Drosophila melanogaster: one gene and its partner. The protein of the gene in region 2 interacts with the protein of the main gene of each other region in a pairwise test. Each region holds a gene or a part of one and is shown on either strand. Other genes may lie near its edges.

The links.
Region 1: the proteins of CG13784 (region 2) and Cep290 interact in a two-hybrid assay, tested with the Drosophila melanogaster proteins (one large-scale study listed by BioGRID).

Annotation. Positions count from the first base shown.
Region 1 is NT_037436.4:841,359-851,262, reverse strand, and holds Cep290 (centrosomal protein 290kDa), read right to left. Parts: upstream 7,338-9,904; 5' UTR 6,898-7,337; coding exon 6,580-6,897; intron 6,523-6,579; coding exon 6,349-6,522; intron 6,296-6,348; coding exon 5,888-6,295; intron 5,823-5,887; coding exon 4,997-5,822; intron 4,938-4,996; coding exon 4,003-4,937; intron 3,945-4,002; coding exon 3,812-3,944; intron 3,750-3,811; coding exon 3,596-3,749; intron 3,539-3,595; coding exon 2,852-3,538; intron 2,788-2,851; coding exon 2,128-2,787; intron 2,075-2,127; coding exon 1,942-2,074; intron 1,884-1,941; coding exon 895-1,883; intron 830-894; coding exon 502-829; intron 439-501; coding exon 247-438; 3' UTR 183-246; downstream 1-182. Other genes in the region: Gr61a (gustatory receptor 61a), read right to left, coding at 7,852-7,932, 7,991-8,243, 8,295-8,449, 8,507-8,629, 8,686-8,852, 8,905-9,099, 9,149-9,340, 9,401-9,545. UniProt on the Drosophila melanogaster protein: Essential for ciliogenesis in sensory neurons and spermatocytes.
Region 2 is NT_033779.5:7,215,794-7,222,324, forward strand, and holds the start of CG13784 (uncharacterized protein), read right to left. Parts: upstream 4,241-6,531; 5' UTR 4,067-4,240; exon of another isoform or gene 3,338-4,066; 5' UTR 3,319-3,337; coding exon 3,116-3,318; intron 3,061-3,115; coding exon of another isoform or gene 3,060-3,060; exon of another isoform or gene 2,858-3,059; intron 1-2,857. Other genes in the region: mEFG1 (mitochondrial translation elongation factor G 1), read right to left, coding at 4,740-4,884, 4,949-5,294, 5,348-6,531.

The DNA.
Region 1 (9,904 bases), on a different chromosome or scaffold from region 2:
TAGTGTTTTCTTAATCTGGCAAAAGATACATTATTTCATGGTTTAAATATCCTATTAAATAAATTTAAATATCCTGTAAAACAAAATTCGGGGGAATCCCGTAACTTTCACATCCCCAACGATTTTAGCCCACCTCGATCTGGCAACTCTGCATTGGGCGCCAAATTCAAAACAGCAGCAGTGAAAAAAACTTTAGTTTTATTCCTCTTTTTTCCTGTACAACATTCATCTTATGATCAATACTGGTTACTCGCTGATTTCATCGATCACGGGCACATTTTGCAGTTCGGAGCACTTGCGTTTCCACAAGGCCAGCTGTTCCCTCAGGACTTTTTCCTTGGCGGCAGCACGGGTCAGAAGTACTTTTGCCTTCTGCAGCAGCTGCGTCTTTTTCACCAACTGCTCCTTGATGAACTTGAGCTCCTCGTTGGCAGCGTCCTTTTTTTTTTAAATTTCAAACACAATTATTGCCGAAGGTGTATTATTACGAGCGGTACCTACCTTGCTGCGTCCCCCGCATTGGCTGCACTTGGTGGTTCGCTTCTGCAACTCCTGCTGCAGAGCACTGATTTTCTCCAGCGCCTCTGCATGCTGCTGCTGCAGACGTGCCGCCTCTGCAGGCGTGGAGTCCATGGAGCTGCGCGACTCCGTGGATCGTCGACCATCCTTCAGGAACTTGTTCTCCGATCGCAACTTCTCCACGAGATTGCGCAGCGAGAGGATCGTCTGCTCCGCCGATTGGCCCTGATTTGTGCTCACCTTGAGGCCACTGCCCAACTCTCGACGGGATTCGTTGCGAGCCATCTCCTCCTTCAGGGCCATGATGTAGCTGAAAAATGGGGGTGGTGCATAAGTCTCGATTCACACGCGTGGAAACTGCCGCTCTCTACTCACTCCTCCAAGTGCTTGATTCGCTTCTGCAGCCGATCGCTGCTGTCGCCCTGCCTCAAGAGATCCGAGTCGAGCTGCAGCTGAAGGTTCCTGGCCTCCAGTCGGATGTTCTGCGCCTCGATGGCCTGGCAGCGCTCTTGCAATTTTTCCAGCTCCGTGGTCAGGGCATTGCTGCCCCTGCCCTCCAGTTCCATGGCGATGATCTTGCGCTGCTGCAGCTCAATGCGCGACTTGAGCGCCTCAATAAGGTCCAACTGACTCTGGTCAAAGATCTGGGTGTGATGATGCGCCGGAGAGCTGCACTCGCTGCTGGGACCCGTGTAGGTCTCCGGACTCTCCGAAGGCGATGGAGCGAACTTGCTGACACCCACGTGCTGGAGATTCGGACAGGATGGAGTGCGGCAGCACTTGAGGTTATTGCCACCGGAGCTGTTGCTCGGCGGACCGTTCCTGCCCAGCTTGGACTCCAGGATTTGCTTGTCCTTTTCCAAGCGCGCTATTGTGGTGCGCGCTGCCTGGAGAAGGGCACGGGTCTTCTCCAGCGCCAGCTCGGTCTCCTCCAGCCGGGCCTTGGTCTTCTCCGCCTGCTGTTGGTACCGCTTCTGCTTCTCCCAGAGCTGCACCTCATTGGCACTCCTCGTGCGCTTGGCCTCCAGGAGCGTCTGCTGTCGCTGCAGCTGGCCACGTGCCTCGTCCAAGTCCAATTCCAGCTGCTGGATTCTCTTCAGCTGGTTCTCGTTCTTAACCCGGGCATTCAGTTCCGTTTTAATGGAGACCACAGGGCGTTTGAGTAGCTGCTGGCGCAGCGACTGGCTGAGATCCCTGGCCTGCTTTTCGCGCTGGGTGACGTTGGCCAGCTGGCGGCGAAGTGCCTCCATTTGGGTGTGATAGATCTTGTTGGTGGCCTCGGTGCGGTTGAGATCGGCAGCCAGCTTGGCTATCTGGTCCTCCGAGAAGTTCGAGGTGTCTTTGATGTAGCGCTGCTGGTCGTCCTGCATGTTTAAAACTTTTAATAGTAGAGATGAATATGATGGTATTGCTGGGCATTACGTGGAAGTTCTTGAGTGTATCCATCAGATCCTTGATGTGCTTGTCCTTCTCATCCAGAAAGATGCGTAGCTGATCCAGTTCGGGATTCACGGTGCTTTCGACCGACTTCTCCCGCTCCTGGCACAGCTTCAACCTGTCGAATGTAACGGATTAAGATCATGCACAACTACTTACTTTACAACTTACTTCTCCTTTAGTATATCCACTTCCTCTTCCCTCGTCTTGAGGCTCCTTTCGCTGTACTCCAGCTTGTCCTTGAGATCCTTGATTTGCTTGTGCAGCGTCGGCACTTCCTTCAGCTCCTCGGTGTCCTGCTTCTCCTCCTCACCTTCGGGCTCTTCGGTAACTATGTTCTCTGGACCTGCTTCCACTGGCACTTCCAACTCTTCTTGGGGTGGTCTCTCCACTGAGCTGCTTTCGAAGAGCTCCTCGATCTTCTCATCCGTCAGCTCGTTGACCGAGCTATCGGAACTGGAACTGGACCTCGAATCCGTCGACGGGTTGCGCTCCACGGGGACCTCGGGTTTCTGTCTCAGCTTCTCCTTAAGGCCCTGAATCTCTGCATCCTTCGTCTTGATGTTGAAGTTCAGGTTGTTAACCGTGGCCCTCAGGGATTCGTTTTCAGCCACCTGTTTGCTAAGTGCTTGCTGACTCTGATCCCTCTCGGTTTGCAGAAGGTCCTGGTACTTTTGTATGGACTGGTCCTTCTCCAGGAGCAGGGTGTGGAACGAGAGTATGGTCTTCTCCACCACACCACCTTGCGGACTGGCGGACTCGCGACTCTCCGATCTGGAAGCCTCCAACTGCTTGCCAAGGATCTCGATGCGCTGGTTGGCTTCCTGCAGACTGTTGGGCATCACCATTTATAGTTGCAAATAGTTATTTACATTTTTTACTTGGGGGAACTTACGTTTCTTGCATTTTTTGTAGCTCCGCGCGGGAATCTCTCCTATTGTCCTCCACTGCATCCGCTGTCTGAACGGCTTGATTCTGCTGGCTGAGAATGCCATTGGTTTGGACTGCCGTCTCCGAGAACTCAACTTGCGCCTCCAGCGTTTGAGTGGCTGTATCCAGGTGCGGATGTTTTCGGAGAGGCGACCCAATGGGCGATGACTCCCTGTCTATCAACTGGACGGCCCTTCTCATGGCCAGATTAGGAGCCACTGCATCGGTATTCGTCTCTGCATCCACCTTGAGTTGACTTCTTGGCTCTCCTTCACCGAACAAGGCCTGGATGGTGCTCCAGTGCTCGGTGTCGGTGGCCTGGCTCATCCTCAACTCACCCAATTCCCGAACGAGCTCCTCCTGTTTGGCCTGCAGAATCTCGCAGCGCTGTTCCAAGAGTCTCGTCTGTGTTTCAGACTTTATGAGCTTCACCAACTGCTGGGAACTCTCCTCGTTGAGACCAATTTTGGCCTGGACCACGGCGGTCACTTCATCAATCAGAGCGGTGTGATCTCTATGTCGCTGCTGCACTTGCTCCTCCTCCAGGCGACGCTGGAACTTTTGGTAGGCGAACACAAAGTTGGTAAGGAAGACCAGTGGCGTGAATTTGGCATATTTATCTTTGAGCATAAACAATGAATGCTGGAGGAATCTGTGGGATTTGGTAGAAAGTCAGATCTGCTAGGGATTATCCACCACTTGGTCTCACTTGTGCTTAATATCGCTATTGGTGCGCTCCTGCTGGAAGTCCTGTTGCGTCTGTTTCAGGGATAACTCGCTGGCCTCCAGTTGGGTTTGCAGGCAGTCCGCCTTTAGCTGCAGTTTTTCTCGCTCTGTTTCCAAGCGGGAGCACTCGGCTTTCACTAAAAAAAAAAAGAGAGACATGCTGGCTACTGATCTTCTCCTCGAATAAGTCTGTGCTTACCACTATCCAGATCCCTCTGGACCTTGGCCAGCATTAGCTTCTCGTCGGAGCTGCTCTGAAGATCGGCCACCAGGTGACGCAGATTGATGTGGTTATCGGTGATCTCATTGAGCAGCCTTTGCTGGGAGTGAATCTGGAAAGAGGATGGGCATTAGATCTCCCATGGGTAGGTATCAAGGAGAATCTCCAACCTGCTCATTGGCCACATGGAGCAGTCCTTCCAGCTGCTTGGTCTCCCTCTGCAGCTCCGCCTGCTTGCTCCTCCAAGTGAGCAGCTCCTGTTGCTGCTCCTCGAAGTCCTGGGCTGTGATGTAATCCAGCTGATAGTTCTCCCTGATTATACCGTACTCAGCGCATATTTCCGTGGGCTTCAGCTCGCCCAGCAGTTGCTCCATCGCCTGGCCAAGTTGCATGCTCAAGATGGCATTCCTGTGCTCCAACTTTTGCTGCTCCTCCGCAGTGTAGAGATTCCTTCGATTCACTTGCTCCAACTCCTCTCTAGCTTCACATAGTTCACTCTTGCTATGCTCCAACTGCCTGGCTAGAGACGCCTTATCATCTATGAAGCGAAGTTCCTGCTTTCTGGTCTCCGTCAGCAGTTGATCGTAATCCCTGCGCATGTAGGAGTAGGAATTCCTTTGCTGCTCCAACTGCAACTCCAAAGCGATCATTTGATCGTGGAGCTCTTGGTTGCGATTCATCAGATCACTGCCATCGGCGGACATATGAAGACGAAGTTCGTCGTAGTGCTTGCGCAGAATGGAGAGCTCAGCCAGGGCCTCGTTCGTGGGTTTCTCCTCGGGATCTGGTACAGTGGGTCTGCGTAATCCCATCGTGGCTTCAGTGGGCGAGCTTGGCCTGGTGGCTGTGTTCAGCACAGCATCCTCCTCGACAGGATGCTCTTCTGCAATCTCGGGAACCTCGCACAGACTATGCACAGAGGACAGTTCTCCCGTCTCGGAGTCACTGTAGTTCTGCTGCTCGAGCAGCTGACGCAGTGCCTCCTCTCGGGCCTTCAGCTCTAGGAGCTGACCCTGGAGTCGCTGCGGAGTGGTCGTTCCGCCGGGCAGAGCTTCGATGAGGCGGCGCAAGAGATCGGAATCGATGGTTATGTGCTCTGAGGTGGCTACATGGATAATGTTTAATACATATAGTTATTCAAGAAATATGTTATGGTTATCTCACCATCATATTCCCGCAGCTTCTCCAGAATCTCGTACATGCCGGAGCGTAGTGTTTCATTTTCGGCCAGGACTTCGTCGTATCGATTCTGCATCTCGGAACTGGCTGCCCCGTCGCCTTGGCCACGTCTCGGCGAATTCTCCAGATGCACACTATGAGGCACTTCACCCACTTCGCTGGGCGCCTGCAGCGATTCGTTCAAGGTCTGCGGACTGTCCTGCTGCAACTCCAAGAGCTTCCGCCTAAGTTCACTCTTTTCCAACTTCAATTGCAGACGCAGCTCCTCGGATGTCCTCAGCTTGAGGGTCAGTCGCTCGATCTGCTTGTCCTTGTTGCGCTGCTTGGAATGGACGTTCTTGGCCATGATGACCACATCGTCGGGGATGTGAAGTTTTCGCCGCAGCAGCTCGTTCTCCTGGACCACCTCGTGCAGGGAGTTCAGCTCCTGGATGTAGGCCCTCAGCTGCTTGTCGCGTGCTGCCACCTTCTGTTCCAATCCCGAGCAGCGTCGCAGAGCGGGAATGAGGCCATCTTCGTCACGCTTGTAGGCCTCCAGGGCACTAATGGCGTGCAGGGCCTGCTGGGACTTGAGCACGTTGTCCTGCTCGGCGGCCTCCAGCATCTCCGAGAGCTGCTGACACCGGGCGGTGGCTTCCCGCAGGCGCTCCTCGATCATCTGGCAGCAGGCTCGCGGCTGCTCGGGATCGTGGGCTCGCTCCTTCTCCTGACACAACTGGTTCATCGCACGCGTGGAGCTAACCATCTCCTCCGCCATTGACTTGATCTTCTCCTCCAGCTTCTCGATGCGTTGTTCCCGGGATTCCAAAAGCTACGAGGGATGAACATTTAGCGAGCTCAAGATCTAGATAAAATATATCGGCAGTTCATCCTTACCTGTCGTAGTTTGGCGTGCTCCTCCTCCTGCTGACTCTGACTGTTGGAAGAATTGGTTTGGCCAGAGCTGATGCTTTTGCCCTCCAGTTGTTTCTTGAGACGCTCCACCTCCTTGTCCCGATCGTCGAGCGCCTGCCTCCAGCCCAGCGACTTGGCCTCGTATTTGTCCAGGAACTGACGCATTTCCACCTCCTGCTTCTCGCGCTCCACCTCCAGGAAAGTTAGATTTCCTTCCAGGCGAGTGATTTCCAGCGCCTGCTGCTGCTCCTTTTGTTTCAAGGACTTGCGCTCCTGCTCCACCTTGGTGATGTCCTGGCTCAATTGCACGAGATTCGCCTTGATGGTCTGCAGCTCCCGCTCGTGGAGCACTATGGTCTTCGATTGAGCTATGTTTTGGTTTTGCAGTGTCTGAAAGGGAATGAATATAGTATATTCTGAATGCAAAACATAATATGACTCACCTCGATTTCCTTTAGCAGCCGCTTGATGTGCTTGTTCTTGGAGTCGATGTTCTGCAGCAGCTGCTCCTGCTTGTCCAGCTCGGACAGGGGATCCGATGAATCCTTGTCGCTGATTTCCGCCTGCTGCGCCGCCTCCTGCAGGCGCAGCTCCAACTGACGGATTTCCTCCCCCAACTAGTGAGAAAAAAGCGTATCCTTGAGCTTGGGTACTTTACATGATCTACTGCTCACCTCCTTGGCTTTGCTCTTCAGGCCATCGCGTTCGTCCTCCAACTTCTGGAGCATTCGCTTCAGCTTCTCATTCTCATCCTGCAGGCGGCGGTCGGAGGAGAGTCCTCCGGCTGCTGATTCCTGCAGCTGCTGTACCTGCTCGCCCTTGTACTCCAAAACGGCCAGGGTGAGTTCCAGGGTTTTCCTCAGCGACTTCTTAGGCAGCTCATCGATGGACTCGGCCAGTTCGAGGAGCGTTTCGTAGAGCTCCTGCTTCTGGCGCGCCGAAAAGTCGCGGAACTTGCGCAGGGATACGGTCTCTGGTATGTCCATGCTCATCCTGGTGGCTCATGGCCTCGCTCCTCGGCGGTTACTCACGTTCTGCGTCCAAATATTCCCCGATTTTCCACACCAGCTCTCCAGTTTTTCCGGTTGCCATGACACTTGGCCCAAAACAAACTACGACTGAAAACCCATTCGGGGGTTGCTTTTCCGGAAACGAGGGTGCCGGCGCGCTCCTTTCAAGTGACCAACCTGCAGGACCTTTGTTTTTGCTGGCGTTCTGTTTTGCTAGCTGCTTCGGCTGCGTAGAAAGTTTCCTGACAGGATAATTGCCTCAACGGCGGCTATAGCGGCAAGGATCGGCGGTGGGAGCAGCCGGTGGCCCACCACAAACAAAAATGGCAATCGGTAACCAGGAAAGTGTTAATTGGCAAAGTGTCAAAGGCCGAGTTTTGAAATTGAAAAGCCATTTCTGTTCGAAGCGACTTTTCCGCCGCCTTCTCGTGTTTCTGTTAACTTTTCTTACACTCGAAAAAAAAATGGTATTTAGTTCAGAGCACACCAAGTGGCTTTTGAAAGGGTTTAGAAGTAAGCAGTAAAGATAAGATTATTATTATTTAGAACTTTAGCTTCCGAACATATTTTTCAGTGCACTCCAACTCCTTTCTCCTTTCAAAACTCATCGAGTTGCCTTCAAAATTACGTTTGCCTACATGTGTAGCAATAATTGAAACTAATGGCAAGCGACTTTGGTTGCCCTCCCATTTGTGGATTCGCCCTCGCTGAATGACAGCTGGCCAAAAATTGAAATTGAAATGACACTCGGAATGGCCAATTATCCTGGAAGCCTTTTGGCCATTTAATAACCGCCCGAGTCGGGTTGGCTGAACTCACACATGAGCTGCTAACTGACTTTTCCTCGCAGGAATCTACCCTTTTTCAAATCTGATTATCTGACTATTTTATTATACATTCAGTTAAGTTAAACTGGACTAAAGTTCACTCATTTAGTTACGCGCACCGCAGTCCCTTGTGGCTCTTAGCATCTATTTGCAGCAGCATAAGTTCGTAGGTCACCAGGGTGGCTAGCATCTGGAGAGGATGGCTGGGATCAGTATGGGAATCGTGAAGACTCGTGAAGTTTACCCACTCCGAAGAGACTCTTTCTTGTCAAGCAGAAGAGACGATATCCAGACAATCCGACAAACTCGCTGGTCAGCTGGTCGGCAAATCTCTGCACCTCCTGCGTCCAGCCATCGCTGGGCACCAAGTACAAGGACCTCAGGGGCAGAAGCGAGGCATCGTGGATCTTGGAGGCAGTCATGAAAACCAGACTCGTCCTGGCCAGCAGGAAGATCAGCGAGTACCAGAAGTAAACGTAGTTTATGGGATGCCGCAGTTTGCTAAAAAGATTTGAAATGAGACTAGGGGGTAGCTACAAACAGATGACTCACGTGAAAATAGCCAACGCCTGGTTGCAGATCACATACACATTGTTAGCGCAGGATACGAACACTATATTCGACATGCTGGCCTCCACCAAACTGGCCAGCTCGCAAAGGCGAATGTGATCCCTCCGAATGTCGTACCACAAGGCTTCGGGAACATGCTAAATGGGATGGGGATTTAAAAGAGAAATACATTGAAATAGTTTGGATTATTTTACACGACCCTCCAGTGCGCCAACTCGAGCGGCAAACTGTTGAAACCTTTGCGCCAGTCCAATACTGGTCATCACAATAAAGATGTCCATGAAGTTCCACAGAAAGGTGAAGGCTCCATTTAGCCACTAAAAAAGAGAGCATTATTCAAACTAACTAACTAAAATATATATAGTTAACTTACAAATCCATAGCACATGGAAAATATATTGAATGGCATGATGAACATGATGTCGGAGAACTCCTTCTCCAAATAAAGTCCAAAGGTAATACGCGAGTGGTTTGTGTGGCACTGCAGGATGTGCATGCTATAGCTGCAGTAGCCAGAGGCGTAGTACAGCATGTGGTCGCCTGAAAGAAAGTTCTTCTGGAAACCATTGAAAGGATAACCCAGAAATCTCACCTACTGCCAGGACGACCACACTCAGAGCAAGGACGTTGACCTTTGACCGAAGGCTTCGCTTGCCACGTTTGTAGGGCGGAAAGAGCATCAGAATGTCCACCGAACTCCAGGGCAGCATTATGTGCGACCAGGAGCGAGCAAAGCCCACGAAGTTTAGCCAGTTGACCATGCCCACGATAAGGAAAACCAAACCCACTATTGAGCTTTCAGTTGGGATCACACTACCATACCATCTAAAACTCACCGATATTCTTGGCATTCAGACCCTCTGTGAAGAGAATATTGGCACCGACCAAGGTCTTCATGCCACCGAGCAAAAGGAAGAGACCGGTGACTGCCAGGCCAATGCTCCTTACCTTGAACTTCACATCCTGGGGATCGCGACTCCGGATATTCGACAAAGGCATAATGCCGAAGAACTGCGCCACACACAGATCTATTGTCCATTGTAATATGTTTAGACACATATGAAAGTGGTTTGGAAAAGTGGTCTTACATGGCCTGATGGCTCCGTAGAAGGTGTCCAGCTGCTCGAACTCCAATCCTCCCTGGGCACAGCGCCATCTCATGGCCAAAATGGCCCTCTGCTTCTGGCGCCGCACTTTCAGGTGCTTCCGGATGTCATCCGAAGTCCTCGACATGCTCCTCAGCTCTGACCGTCAGCAATTCCACTATCCGGGTTCTTGTCTCATGATTGTTGTTTACAAGCTGCAGCTTAGTCTAAAACCCGTAATTAGTGGCACTTGGGGCACACAATGCCATTCGGCGTCCAAAACGGCGGTCATAACTCCGCCCATGGAAATCGTTTTTCCATTTCGTGCCAGTGCAAAATGTATCTTCACCATGGAAGGACCCACGGAGCTACTATTTATAATTTACTAAAGGCATCCTTAAGCAATACATGTTTGAAGTACTGAACAACTCATCAATTTTTAAATATATTTTAAAACATCGATTAATCGAAATATTTAATGCTTACAAATGAACTCTGGCAACGCTG
Region 2 (6,531 bases):
GCCAAATTTGATAGCTTGTTAAGTGTGAACAGCTTGCGTTTTCAGGCGGGCTGACAAAATGTGTAAATATTTAAGCAAATACACGAAAATTACAAATATAGAAATGACTGTTTGCATGTGCCGAGCTAACCGTTCGCATACTATATTTACATCTATTGTTATATGCCTGGAATGAAAGTGTAAATTATATTGCAGACTTGTGTAGTCACGCCCCACTGACCTGACCAACTTATTCAGTCATAATGGTAGCGTTTTTTTTTTTTGCGCGAGAAAACCTTTTTACGAAATCGAACTCCGCCGCTTTGTTGACTTTTGCCATAGAGCAAACTTTAGTTAGTTAAATATGTATATATTCTATATATATATATACGCAATCTGCTTCGTTAGTAAACTGGAAAAAACGCCCACATCGCAAAATATTTTATTAACTGAAAGTTGAATGAATAACTACTTCATAAAATATAGCCAAACAAAGAATTTTTATTTAGTATATGAAGTATGTAATGGACTGCACTTTTTTTTTTACAGATAAGATAAAAACAACTTTACTTTACTTCCTACACCAAAAGCTGAAAAAAAAATTCCAAATATCTTATCTCAAGTGTAAACTCTATTCGCATTATCTAAACCACAATTCTAATCTTGATTTTACAATAATTATTCAGCGATGATTTCAAGCAATGAGCTCATGCAAAAAGCACAGAAAATTTTTCCAATTATTATATTTACTTTTAGTCGTGCCACGGTGTGAGTTTTATGATTAATTCCGTGTTTAATATGCATATTTACGATCAACAACAAAGGCAGCCACGTTGTCAATTTTTACAATAAAGTCAACGGGATGTGTCATTCCTTCTTGTTCCTATCCATAATCTGCCTCCCTTTGTTGGGAGTGTTTTTTTTTCTCTGAATATCACATATGTGAAATATATTTCCATCACGTGAACTAATTAATTGTAATTGCGTGCAATTTATGGTAAATTCACGAAATAACTTTTAATAGTTGAAGTGTTTCGTGCATTTTGTTGTACACAAATTGCCAGTTGCACTCAACTAAATTTTTTTTTTTTTTGCGGGGGTTTATTCAGTCGGAATAATAATAATTACGGCGTACGGAAAGCAAAAAGTCGTGCATAAATTAAAAGCTACTTCCTATCATTGTTGTAGCCCCCAAAACATTCCTATTGCACTATTACTTAGCCTCCAGACTGACTGACTTTATTCATAAAACCCAACTGAAACTGATCGCGTGTCTGGAAAAAAAATGTCTGGCCACAAGGAATCGTAAACATCTATATATAACGTATACATATTGTATTGGGATTATTCGGCTCAAAGCCTCGTTGCCCAGCTGATTCAACTTTGCTCGCCGGCAACAGTTTCCAGCTAAATAATTTATTTATTGATTGCCACCCAGGCCAGACAAATTGACGGCGTCGATGAGGGCCACCAGTTGCTCCTATTCTTTTTTTGTTTTTGCGTTCACGTTTCACTTGGCTTGTTAATAAATTATTAGTAGGAAGCGATGGGTCTCGAAAAACCACAATAGCAGCAGCTTTAAACGGGCTAAACAACCTGAAAAATACACAGAAACCAGCTGGACAAAAGTAGTTGACCCTGTTGTTAAAGGCCAGTCGAGAAGTAGCTGGCCTAAAAATCCGTTTATTCCGTTTATTCCATATGGCAAATATATATTTTGAACTAAATATGAAAATACGTTCTGAATAAACAATAGCGCAAATTCAATTATATCTTTTTGTTTGTTGGCTCTGTGTCAGTTTCAACTGGTTTCAATGGCATTGTCACATTTTGAAAGCTACTTTGCACACTCATTCAAATTGAATTAAAAATTTACTTTATTAATTTTGATTTATATGTTTCGCTCTGCAAAAAGATGAATCAACAATCCAGGGCAGCTGGATGAAACCATTCCAGAAACGAAAGTTCAGACTGTCAACATTTTTAAGTCACCTAAATATTCCCAAAAACGACTGAATTTCGTATATTACGAAATAGTTTTTTTTGACTTCTTATAAACTATAGTTGCGCTTGTATTGAGTTGAGTGTAACAATCTTATCAAACATCCCACAAAACATTAGTTCAGCATGAAAGCTGATAAATCTTCCATCAAGTGTCCTAAACCCCAGCGAAAATAGCGATTATCGACGACATTGTGCATTGTGCCGAATACCTAAATACCGCTGGGAGTACAATAAAGATAAAACCAGTACGCTGGTCCTTCGTCCAAATTGTGGAAGTCGTCTATCGACTATGGTGAGCAAAATCGACCAGAAATCATGACATAGCTAACAGATAGGAAGGGGTTTTGGTCTCAAGTGCTCCAAACCGTAAATTGTCGCGTCGGACCATGAGAGAATTTCGCGTGATAAGCGGTTTGAATTGCCCACCCAGATAAGCCGTAATACCATACCAGGTATTTGCCGAGTGGGTTTAGTCATCCCAATGTGGGTGAGATAAAAGTGGACAGGGGTTTACTTAGAGAGGTTCAGGTACCTGACGTTTTCACCGCAGGGGTGCCAGAGGATTCGAAACTACTGCGAAAGAGATCTTTCTGTATATATATGTAGATATAATAGCATGTTTCTAAAGTAAGTTTTTAGGTAGATTTTAAAGACAAGGAAGTGCCATATCAGTAATTTTCTAGAGATTTTTTTTTTAAAGAATTATGATGTATTTCAATTGTATTCTCAACCCAAATCAAAAGAAAAAAAACGAGAGAGAATTTGCAGGTGTTTATTTTCATTTGAATACGCAGCGTTCAAAAGTGATTTGTGTTATTTTCGAGTGCTGTACAGTCAAAAAGAAAAATAAGCGCGTGCAATAAAAGTTCGTTTTGCCTTTCATGATTGATTTATTGCTCAAAAATGGCATATTTGGATATGAAATCGTCATAATTACTTGCAAAATTTTGAGCTTTCACATTTAAGCACTTTTGTTAACATTATGGAGCATTAGGTAATGAATTTAATTAGTTTCGTACGGATGCTAGTAATGTTTTAGTTTCCTAGGTATCTATTATGTATCTAGTATTCCAGTATCTATTTTCGATTACAAATTTAGTTATTTTTGATTAGCGTACAAGTTAAGTCTTACCAGAAGAGTATTCTCAGCGAGTTGGCCACCAGCAGCGCCAGGCACACGTACAGAGAGAATCCCTCCGCGTCCTGCGTCTTCTTGATCTCAATGTATTGGGGCACGTAGGGGATCACGCCCCCAATAACCATTGCGGAGGCGGCGGCCCAGCCCACCACGTGACCGACCGTCAGGCCCATCTCATCATTGATGATCCAATCCATTGTGAGCTATCTCTGTTTACTGGAAATTTGGTTATATTTAGTTTATTCGTTTACTTTGTGTTTTGAAATTTATTTTTCGTTTTAGGTTTTGTCGTTTAGCGGATATGTGTAGTTTATGTTATTGATTTGATTTTTTGACTAGTTTAAAAGCCGGCGATTGGAAGTAGTCGTTGTTGTAGTTACTGGATTTCGCATCGTTTGCGGTTATAACTATTGTTTGTTGAACAGTGTAATGCAGGAAGGAAAGAAAGGAAGTCAGCTGTGTGTTGTTGTTGCTGTGCTTGTTTTTCGTCGTTTCGCTTTGATCTTCTACTTTTGCACACACACACACACACACTGACGCACACCCACACGCAGGCAGCGAAGATATTTATTTTCTATTTCCCTATTGCTCTCGCACGCTCTCACTCTTTGTCGCTCTTTTAATTTTTCCTGTGTTTTCGTTTTCCGCGTTTTTTTTGTATTGAATTTTCACCGAATTTTCTATGCCCCTTTTTTCACGAATCGTCACCGATTTTCCTGCGCACACTTTTCTGGCAGCGGAAAACACTAGACGAGCAAAGCGCTGCAATCACAAATCGCTCCATTTCTACGCAAACACATCAGCACACTTCATAAATGCTCTCGGCATTTCAATTGCATTTTCCCCCGTTTGCCTTTTCCGTTAATTGAGTTAAATTTTTGTTGTGGCTGCAGCCGTTGTTGTTGTTGCTGTTGTTGCTATTATTATTGTTCCGGAAAATCGTACTTATTCATTCGCTAATTGCTGTCGCTTGCTGTTGTTTCAATTTTCGTTCTTCTTCGCACTTTCGGTGGTCAGTTTTCCTTTCACCTCGCCACAGTTTGCATTTCCTCTGCGAGTTTGCGGAAAAACTGTCCGCGGATCAACCGCACGCAAGCGAAAACAACAACACAAACAAACGTACACAAGTTTTGTGGCTAGTGTTACCAGTCAGCGAAATCCTGAAACTCACATTCCCTAACGCATCTGACATTATTATTCGATATTTTTGTTATACTCGTTTTCGACCTGTTTAACGGTAAGATGACTAAGTACCGCGGAGTACCAATCGGTACCTATTTCCGTACCTAGTGTTATATAGGTACAAAATAGTATGTGCGCCTCCAACAAAAGCGTTTCAAATATAAATGAGTTATTTGTATTAATTTATATATATATTTCATTTTCAAAGAAAAATAAGACGAAAAATTCAACTGATATCAACAAGCTGTGATTAATTAAGTATACCGATTTTTGTTGAATCTTGTTTTATTATACAAATAACTGTACACTTCGCATTTATCACAGTGAAAACTGAAAATTGTTGTATGAAATAAAATTTAACTAAGCAAAAATAGGGGTGACACAATAACATTTCGATTTGATAGAGATGGTAATTAAAAATAGATTAAGTTAAAACCTAGTTCTTCTTTTTCTTCTTGTCGGGTTGGGCCAATCCTTGCGACTCCTGGTATTGCCGGACGATCTGATCCTGGACATCTGGGAGACAAGGCGAGTACCTGGAGTACTCCATGGTGAATTCACCCTTTCCCTGGGTACTCGATCTGTAAATAAAGATGAGATATATTTAGATACAATTCAACGTTTCCAATGTGTACTGAAGATTACCTCAGCTCTCCCGCATAGCCAAACATGTCGTTCAGCGGTACCTCCGCGTAGACAGTGAACCAACCCTCGGTTCCCTCAGTTCCGGTGATGATACCATGCCGTTTGCTCAAGTGACCCATTACAGCACCCTGGAATTCCTCGGGTGCAGTGACCTCGACCAGCATAATGGGCTCTAGGATTTGCCAGCTGCCGTTCTGGAAGACCTCTTTGATGGCACCATGGGCAGCCAACATGAAGGCGAGCTCGCTGGAGTCCACGATGTGGTGACCACCATCTTGCAGGCGGAATCGAATGCCGGACAACTTGTGACCGGAGAGCATTCCCTTCTCAGCCATTTCTCTGTAACCTAAGCAAATAAAATATTAAAATCAGAACATTGAGGAATGTAATTTTAGTTACCCTTTTCGACTCCAGGAACAAATTGTTTTGGTACATTGGTGCCCACTGTTTCGTCCACGAATTCCAGCAGGGTGTTTTGGTTCGGCGGTAGTGGTTCCATGACTCCAATAATCCTGGCATATTGACCCGATCCTCCCGATTGTTTCTTGTGCAGGTAATCAAACTCACACGGTCCCACCAGGGTTTCCCTAAATGCTACTTTTGGCTTTCCCAGCGTCACTGGGCAACCGTATTCCCTCTCCATTCTCTGGGCATAGATCTCCAAATGCAGTTCACCCATTCCCGAGACAAGAGTTTCCTTTACATCGTTGTCGAAAAAGAAGTGGAATGTGGGATCCTCTTTGGTGAATCTCGCAATAGCCTTCGAGAAATTATCCCTATCCTTGGTATTATTTGGCTTAATGGCCATTGAGACCACGGGCTCGGGTACAAAGATGGATTCCATAGACAGATTGTTCTTGGGATTGGTGGTGAAAGTGTCTCCGGAGGCGCAATCAACTCCGAAAAGCGCAAATATATCGCCGGCATACACCTCGTTTACATCCTCCATTTGATTTGAGTGCAATCGAACCAAGCGAGCAATTCTCACTTTCTTGTTGGTGCGGGCATTGAAGATGTTGTCACCCTTCCGTAGGACACCTTGGTAGCATCTGAGGTAGGTTAGTTGGCCAAAGCGACCAGCTTCCAGCTTGAACGCCAAGCCAACAAAGGGATCCTTGCCATCGCGGGCGGGATTTAAGACTACTTTTTCTGGGTCTTGTCCTTCCTTCTCGATGAAGCCCAGGTTCTCTACCTCTCCAGGATTGGGCAGGTAGTCAAGTACTGCATCTAGCAATGGCTGGACACCTTTGTTCTTCAGTGCTGTGCCCACCAAGACAGGTGTGAAGGTTCTATTGATGCAGGTTCTCCTTAAGGCCGCCTTAATATCGTCTTCTGTAAAGGGCTTCTCTTCCAGGAAAAGTTCTCCAAGCGTTTCGTCTGCATTTGACAAGTGTTCGATAAGCTCCTGTCTTCTCTCCAGGCTCTCTACCCGCATATCCTGTGGAATTTCGTCCAGCCTGATGTCCATTCCGTGCTCGCCCTCAAAGTATATGGCTTTTTCCCGCACCAAATCCACGATGCCCTTGCAATTGCTCTCCACTCCAATGGGCAGCTGAATGAAAGCAGCGTTGTGGTTCATTTTT